Linked DNA regions of Nothobranchius furzeri. The protein of the gene in region 1 purifies or fractionates together with the protein of each later gene. This does not show direct contact. Links are inferred from orthologs where the notes say so. Each region holds a gene or a part of one and is shown on either strand. Other genes may lie near its edges. The genes, in order: orc5 and lrwd1.

Region 1 (4,268 bases):
CGGACGTAGTTGGTTTGGTAGATTTTGGCAGCCTCGGAGGCAGGGAGCATGGTGGTGGTCGCGCTGGGAGCCCCGGGGACCATTTCCTCTGGTCTGTGTGGGGAGGATGCGGATCAAAGTGGCACCTGCCTCATCTGGTAATCAGCAGAACTTCCTCTGGTTCGGTTGTGTTTTCTTTCCTTACACTCGTGTCCACAGCATCAGCTGCACTGTATAGAGGCAAGGCCGGGTCCTGATTTCTGTTCTGGAGCTCCGATTTTCATTCATCAGCCTGCAGAATCGAAACGTGGCTCTGGGAAAATACGAGCGCCGGTAATCCATTTGCAGATTCATTCTCCATTTGCGCGCATATGTAGTGGAATGCAGTCCGCTTCTTATCAGGGGATGTGTGAGATCTCCCTGCACGGATCCGTCTGAGGAGCACAACCGCAGATGTCCGTGTATAGTACAGGGCCAACCCACATCCCTTAATCCCATTCTGACGTTGCTCGCGCGAAATTTCAAACACAAAGATTTAAAATGAAAAATGTACAGAAAATATGGTAACATGACTTCAGTGGCAATGAATTAGAGATTTTGCATGACTAAAAATTACTTATTTTTACTACTAAAACGAACAAAGATAAAAACACAAAGCGATCAGTGATCATTATGATTTTTCGGAATGTTTTCATTTTTAATCATCAAATCTTAATTCATGCAAATTAGTAATTTTACCAAATGAACTGATTTTTTTGCTATCTAGACTGACAAACAATCAAATATTTAAATTTAAGAACTAGACAGAGTTTGTTATTTCAACCAATATAAAACAGTGACGTATTAAAATGTTCGTTACAAAAGTAGTAGATTAAGTCAATGCTATTATTTCTGGATCATATTGTAGATAAATCCCTATATTACTAAAATACTAACCTAAAATCACCACATCAAATCCAAAATATGCTATTTAAATTGTGTTTAACCTTTAAACTACATTTCCCAGAGTTCTGAGCTCTATTTTCATTGGGTAACAGAGGATCACGTTTCTACGCAATTCGAAGGCGCGCGAGAAAATGCAGCTAACGTTTTATCCAGTTCTCTTAAGAGAAAATGCATTTTCTCATCATTTAAAGTTGCTTACTTGGTTTCTTTCAGGGTGTTAGTTTACCCCCAACTTGTTCTATCGGTACTTTCCCGACGTTAATTCTCTTTTTGGCACTTTTTCCTCCCAAATTACCGCCTGTGTTCGTCTTTTCCGCCTCGTGTCGGTGGACTTTCAGTTACAAAAAGCCGAGTTTTATGCTAACTGTCACGGTTTTAGACAGATTATTCTAAGCCTCGTGACGATTAAACCGTGCGGGCATATTTGGGAGTTGGACGGTAAGGATGACGGGGCTGTTACAGCAACCAGGATACGACGAAGAAAGGCTAAAAAGAGTCTCAGAGCTGCTGCCTTGTAGAGAAGTCCAGGCTGGGATGCTGCTGTCTCTCATGGGACAGGTAGGAACTATAATGGTGGTTTAAAAGAATCGTTGGCTTGGTCTCCATTCTCACTGTCAGCGTTTGATTGTGTTTTCTCTGTCAGGTAAACTGGAGTTTCACGTCTGTAAACCTTTGTTTCGCAGGCACATTACAGCTTGCCGAAGATGCTCATCAAATCTTTTTGTGTTAGTGCAATGCAAGTTGTATAATCTTGATGGTGTCATTTGGCTGTTTGAGCACAACGGGCTGTCCTCAGTAGAGCTTTTTCAATTTATTGCATGATTTTTCTTTGCAGTACATATTTACACATTTTTATAATATAAGTTTGCTTGAGAAAATACAATGGTACCCAGAAACCTTCATATGTTTACAGACATCTAAACCTAAATAAAAGCTGCATCAAGATGACATAATTCCCTAATGTAAATTATGTTTGGGCAACTGCAGCAAAATATATTTTGGTGTAATTCTAAAGTTATACGAGAATCTAAAAAAATATCTAAAAAATATGAAGCTGTGGGATAATCAAGAGCCAGCAGTAGCTTATTTTTTTTTTTTTTTTTTTGTGACAAAGCTATTGTTACAAGCTTCTAATGTTGTGAGTAGATGATGACATTTTAATCCTTGGGAAATTTATACATTAAAATGCAAAAAAATATTGATACAAAAATGCTATTTTTATGCTCTTCCAGCCACAGCAGTACTGCTACCCTTCAGTCTTCATCTATGGCCATCGGTCCTCAGGAAAAAGTCACGTGACAAATATTTTGATGGAAGAGTTGGAGGTGAGAGATACTTATTGTCTATGGGTGCCTTTCCAAAAAAAAATTCATTAAATGGCAAATTTCTATGCTTGTCCCTCATTTCAGAAATTGATACCCATTTATTTATTACACAGACTAAAATAGTTTATTCCTTGTAATTAGGAATATTAAAGGTTACAGATAAGAAAAACCCCAAATTCATGCTCCATAAAATAAGAACATTATGAAGGGGTGAAGGTGGCTTAGGGGTTAGGAGTTCACTCTGTAACTGGTGGTTTACTGGTTCAATCCCAGGCTGTGTTGAGTTGGCCATTGTGTCAGACTGTCAGTGGTTGGAGGGACCTGTGGCACCTGTGTAAGGGAGCCTCGCCTCCGTCAAAATGCCCCAGTTTAGCTGTGGTTACAGTGTAGCTCATCAGTGTGTGAATGACTGTAGGTTGAAGCACTTTGGAGTCCTCTAACTCAGAAAGGCGCTAATAAACAAATGCAGGCCATTCATCACTTTGACATGATCTGTATTACATCATCATGAGAATGACAAGAAATAACCGCTTGAAATAGTTTATTTTACATTTAACAAGTCTATTAGCTTTACTTCATGAAATGTGGGCTGATTATAAAATCCAGAGTTTGAGCACAATAAGTCGCCTTTCTGGAAAAAAAAGATGGTTGAAGGACAAGTGATGAACATGTGGGCTTGTTTTATTTCAGAGTTGGATCCTTACTCTTTCAGCTTGTGTAAACCTTTAAACAGACCACTGCAGAGTACTATTACAATAACAAAATATCTAGAAGCAAACAAAGCCTTTTAAATCGTGTAGAATATTAAAATTTGTAGTTTATGGATGGCTACTTTCTTGCCAGTGGTTTTTATATGGGTTTTATTATAAAGAACTCAAAGTAGTTTGTGTTTCTTCTACAAACGTTCACATAAAAGTGGTGGCTACAAAAAGTGTACATCAGGGCCTTCTTTTGTCCAGAAAAGACCCGAATCACAAATACATTCATTCAAGGTTTTTATATAAAGGCCCCAGCATACTTTTTATTTATTTAATTTGTATTTCTTTCATCAAATGTTAGAATAAAATAGACTTTATTAATCACACAGTGGGGAAATTTATTACTTTTTAAATCGGATTAAAAATTAACACAGAGTGGAGTTTTTATGTTCACCCATCTTATGACTTTTTGACCTTCACCATTGCTCCTTCTCCTCCTCAGCTTCCTCACGCCACGGTCAGCTGCGTCGAATGTGTGTCTGTTGCGTTGCTGTTTGAACAAGTGCTACTGTCCTTCTTTGGCTGCGATGCTGCCTCGCTGCTCCCTCGTAGTCCCTCCTTGTCTGACTTTGTGCGGATCTACAGGCAACAATCCTCCCAGTTTCCTGCTGAGCAGACGCGATACATCGTGAGTGACACATCTGTGTTATTTATGATGCCATCTGTTGTAATGCAAGTGGTAAACAAAGCTCCAGATGTATTGACCTGACGTTTCTGTGCCAGAAACAGTGTTAATTTGATGTAGAATTTGGACTGAAAGTGTTTTTCATTTAAACACCTTTTATTTAGTGAGTGTAAATGTTGTAAACCGAAAGTAAACACGTGGATATGTTTCAGATTATGGAGAAGCCTGAACTTCTAAGAGACGCCGATGCCAATCTTCTTCCTGCCCTCCTTCGTCTTCAGGAACTGGTGAGAAAACACAGCTCGCTCTTTGTGGTGTTTATCACCCAAAACGCTTTGTTGTTGATAAACTGCGCCGATGATGAAGAGTTTTATTAGTGAGGAAATGTCCTTGAGCTGCTGTTTGTAGAGAGCTCTTTCATAATGCTGTTAGGAAGGAAAGATGGCAACCACTTGCTGCATTTTAAATAGACTCAAGTGATGTTTTTTTTCTGTACAAGCTGTGATCCTGTTGCAGTGCTGCCACATGGGATTTTGAAGTGATAATTAAGACGTAGAATCATGGGTATGTGGAGAATGATGTAAGAATTAAAGGGGACATATAATGCAAAACTCACTTTATGCATCTTTTTTTTGC
Region 2 (4,288 bases), on another chromosome or scaffold:
CTGATAACATGTTGATGGTGACCAGCCGCTCCCCCCACAACCAGGAGTCATCCAGGTGCGGATCAATGGCTGAGCCTCTCTCCGGAGCGTAATCCAGATTGCACTGCTCCACTGGTTGAAAGCCCGCAAGATTTGCATCTTGCTGCATCCGCAGCACCAGTTTTTGGCTTAAAGCAGGAAGTCCAGTAAAGTCTGCGATGCGCACTTTTCTCTTCTTGAAGTTTACTTTAGGGCCAAAGTCCTGCAACCGTGTAAAATGAAAAATTTGAATGTTAAAAATATGTAACCCACAAAAAAGTACATTTTCATTAAATGTTTTCCACCTGTTTCCTTCGGCCAGACTGTGAGGGATGCCACACATCCTGGTCCATTACGCTAATCAGCTCCCTCTCCTCCTCCTCTGATATAAAGTTCTCCCACAGGAAGACTCCAGAAAAAGGGAAGGAAGAGCCCTCTTCATCTTCGCTGACAGCGAGCCCCGTCTTGGCATTATAGAGGAAATGATGCACAATCTTCATACCAAAAACAGAGATAACATTAATAAACAAAAGCTGTGATGACATGTTTTAATTATAAAATTTCATTTCACAATAAGTAAAGATACATGCCGTCAACATTTAAATAAACCAGGGTTGTATCTCATTATTTAAATCAAATTTACAACATTGTACCAGAATATTGTCAGAACAAACAAGAGTGATTTTTGATAAACAACACAATTTGTCCAGTGAGGGCTTCCGTACCAAGGTTTACAGACGTTACATCGCACATTAAAACTGAGATTTTTGTTCGACACACGTACCTTTGACTCTCTTGTTTCAAGCAGTACACTCGCCTTAAACGTTTCACAGACAAGACAGCGTCGGATGCCTTTACAAGCGCATGGAATAACCCCGTCGCCGTCGTCAGAGACCATCATCATCATGTTGCATCTTCTTCTACTTGGAAATCGTAGCTCCACTGCCATCTAGCGGACGGAGCCGCAGGCGTAAAATTACTTCTTTTAACCCCTATTTTCGTTCTGCCGCACTGTTATTGGCGCATTAAAATTTCAAATAAAACAAAATATGACAATACTTAGTAATATATGTGATAAACAAGAAATATAATAATCGAAAGTCGTATTTGTTTGACTTGTCTTACAGCCAATGTTCAGGGTAAACTGTGGCCAAAGTTTTAGGTAAACCACGCCCACCGGATGTAGACGGAGTTTCCCCGGGAAAGGTCAGTTGTGTTGCAGACACAAAAGTTGCAGAGAGGAGTTGGTAAGTAACATAAAAAATACTTTATTAAACATTATTAAAGGTGTTTGCTCATTTGTTATGGCTAGAAAAAGAGTCAGTTATATTACTAACTACTAACCTAGCAAAGAGTTGATTAATCGATCGTGTCAACGTGGTTATGCTAGCTACTGCTAAAGTAAAACCAATCGAAATCAAACTAACAGATTCAGTTTTACCTTGCTGAAGCATGAAGTTGATTTGGTTATATTAAATTTTTCTCAGTAAAGATGTCACTTGGCAATGGCATCGTCTCTTTACTAAATGAAAAAATGCTAAATATTTAGCTCGTTTTAAGTACAGACATTATTTAAACTTATCAGGCCATACAACTTAATCAGTGAGTGCGAATAAAAGTTTAACATGTTATTTTGCTGATAGATTCCACATTAGATGTCCTTTTCCAGCAGATCAGCTATGGAGAATGTAACAGAGAAGCTTTTACTGGAGAAAGGTTCTCCAAAAACCAACAAACTGGAGCAAATCAAAACTCTGAAGTAAGTCTTCCCCCTTGATTAACTATTTGTGTGTTCTGGTGAAGTCACTCTTTTATCAGTTGATGACTAATCGCATTTAATAGTAAAATTAGTTTTACTTGCAGATATGAAGCTTGATCTAAAATCCCCATGTTGACTTGACGGGTTTCTTCTATTTAGTCTGTCTAAGATGGCGCTGAAGCACGGGGATCTTCCTGTGAAGCTGCTATCCCGCCTGCAGTCCCTGGAGCGGTGGGATCTATCCGGGAACAGGCTGCAGGAGCTTCCAAAGAACCTGAAGCTACCTGCACTTCGGTACCTGGACCTCACCAACAACCAGATGGAGGATGTCACCACCTTAGAGTCTCTGAGCAGCTTGGAGGAACTAAAAATGGATGACAACTTTTACATCACAGTGAGGACTTGGCTGTTTTTGTCGCATGTAATCCAGTACCGTTCCGTCTCTGTTATAACATAAAGGACGGAGCTGCCTTTTTAAAATTCAAACTATTCGATTGGTCTTATTTAAATGAGTGGTTTAAGTATAATTTCTGTCTTTGAATTCATCTCAGAACTTTACAGAATCGTAAAACGTTACCGTGGCATCTTTTGGAGTCTGGTTGTTACATGTGATGCAGTTTTTCCACCCATGACTATTTTACCGCGACAATATCCACATGAGGTGAAAAAAACAAACCAAAAGGAAGTTTTCCTCTAACGCTGTCATCAGATAACTACTTCAACAAGTCTAGATGTTTTATTAGCACGTCTTTTTGTTCTCTGCAGCGCTGCAGCTTTTCCTTTTTGTTAGATATTCCTTTATTTTTGTCTCAAACTTTAAAATTCTCTTTTACAACTGAGATCAAGTCCTGACTCTGTTATTTTTAGATAAGTGATAGTTACAAGCTGATGGTGTTGCTGCCCAAACTGAGGATTTACAACAACAAAGATGTCAGCACCACTGCCAGCCACTTACGATACGTGTTCAGTGACAACCTGAGGACCAGGGTATGAAAACCGTTTAATACTTTCGTTTGAAAACATTCATGATGATTATTCATTAGACTTTGAGTTAAGCTGTGGCTCTCGATTGCATCACACCTCTAATGTTGCATTTTAAAAGGAAACGACCCAGCTGCTGCACTTTCTCATCATATCCCACACTTGGGTCACTCAGCTGCTGCTTGATTTCAGATAGTCACAGTTTGGGAGCGGAGCTTCAGTCTCCCAGATCCCATCACGGCCGGCAAAATGTCCGATCTGGAGAAGAACTTTGTGAACGCTGCTCGTCATCAAGTCAAATTTGGTCCCAGTTCAGTCAGCGATTTCACCAAATGGAGGGCAAGTCCTGAATTTACAAGGATCTCTGGGACTTTTTTGCTAATTTTCATCCCTTTTTAACAGTTTTGTTTTTACTTCCTTTTGATTTTTCAGGTGGAGATTCTTGCTAAAGAGCATCTGCGCTCACTGACACAACCAAAAGAAGACTTCATCCCCAAGGAGTCTGCTGAGGCCACAAAGAACTGTGTAAGATTGCTAATCAGCACCTTTTATTTAAACTTCACTGTTACAATACTGTCATTGGCACAAATGGCGTCTCTAAATAAAACTTCTTGCTGTTTCTGTTCAAACTGGGTCAAACATTTTACTCTATCTTCCTTTTCTCAGATAATTTCCTCGCCTTCCAAGAGGAAACGAACCAAACTGGTGACAGATGATAAAGTAATTTTGACGCCTCACAAGAAGTTGAGAGTCAACGCTCTAGAATCTTCAGCTGCTGAAGACAGCCCTCGCAAGTCCCGCAGGGTCTCTCTCCGGACAGACGGGGCTGTCTCCACTCCCACCAGAGGACAGGCGAGGACAGAGACGCCCAGGAAGAGGTCTAAATCACAGCAACTCGAAGAGGAAGAAGTTCGGGTTGAACAGAAAAAAGAAGTCAGCAAAACCAAACAGCTGCACAGGAGTCAGTACACTCTGCCTATAATAAAGATTTGTACTAAGAGTCAGGTAAAGAAACACACAGATGACTCCTTTAGATGCTGTAGAACCACAAAAACATTCCAGTGTCGTCGTTTATTCCGTACAAGACACAATCTTGTCAGACAACAACCCACAGGGGTTTGTGTTCGTTCTCATCCGTCTCTTGTGTGTGATCCTCCAGCAGCCGGTGCATCTGAAGCCTCTCCACGTGCTCCAGTGTCACAGTAAACAGGACAGCTCCGGGGACTTCTCCACGCAGCTGTGGGCCTGCGCTTTCCAGCCTCTGTCAGGCTCCTCTGGTACTGATGAACCCCTCTGATCCACTCAGATTTATCAGAACAAGTCCTCCGTGGTTTACAGCAACAGCTGTGTATGAAAGCGGATAGCTAACGCTTTACTAGAGTTGTTTGTGAGGCTCTGAGCGAGCTGTGAAACCCTGCTTTGACAGGCTGTTGCAGTGAAAGCCGCCTGGTCGCTACATGTGGAGGAGACTCTCTGTGTGTGATCGACTGTGAAACGGGAATGGTGATGAAGAAGTACAAAGTTCCAGGA

The links.
Region 2: the proteins of orc5 (region 1) and lrwd1 purify together in Homo sapiens (affinity purification with mass spectrometry; 4 studies listed by BioGRID and IntAct, with this or other methods). This does not show direct contact. The link is inferred for Nothobranchius furzeri from reciprocal best matches to the Homo sapiens genes ORC5 and LRWD1.

The regions. Positions count from the first base shown.
Region 1 is NC_091741.1:42,936,166-42,940,433, forward strand, and holds the start of orc5 (origin recognition complex subunit 5), read left to right. Parts: upstream 1-1,231; 5' UTR 1,232-1,368; coding exon 1,369-1,482; intron 1,483-2,156; coding exon 2,157-2,249; intron 2,250-3,449; coding exon 3,450-3,635; intron 3,636-3,844; coding exon 3,845-3,919; intron 3,920-4,268. Other genes in the region: lhfpl3 (LHFPL tetraspan subfamily member 3 protein), read right to left, coding at 1-83. UniProt on the Homo sapiens protein: Component of the origin recognition complex (ORC) that binds origins of replication. DNA-binding is ATP-dependent. The specific DNA sequences that define origins of replication have not been identified yet.
Region 2 is NC_091750.1:30,550,303-30,554,590, reverse strand, and holds the start of lrwd1 (leucine-rich repeat and WD repeat-containing protein 1), read left to right. Parts: upstream 1-1,193; 5' UTR 1,194-1,265; intron 1,266-1,661; 5' UTR 1,662-1,673; coding exon 1,674-1,777; intron 1,778-1,936; coding exon 1,937-2,171; intron 2,172-2,644; coding exon 2,645-2,764; intron 2,765-2,950; coding exon 2,951-3,097; intron 3,098-3,190; coding exon 3,191-3,283; intron 3,284-3,424; coding exon 3,425-3,763; intron 3,764-3,917; coding exon 3,918-4,035; intron 4,036-4,184; coding exon 4,185-4,288. Other genes in the region: alkbh4 (alpha-ketoglutarate-dependent dioxygenase alkB homolog 4), read right to left, coding at 1-241, 324-512, 803-967. UniProt on the Homo sapiens protein: Required for G1/S transition. Recruits and stabilizes the origin recognition complex (ORC) onto chromatin during G1 to establish pre-replication complex (preRC) and to heterochromatic sites in post-replicated cells.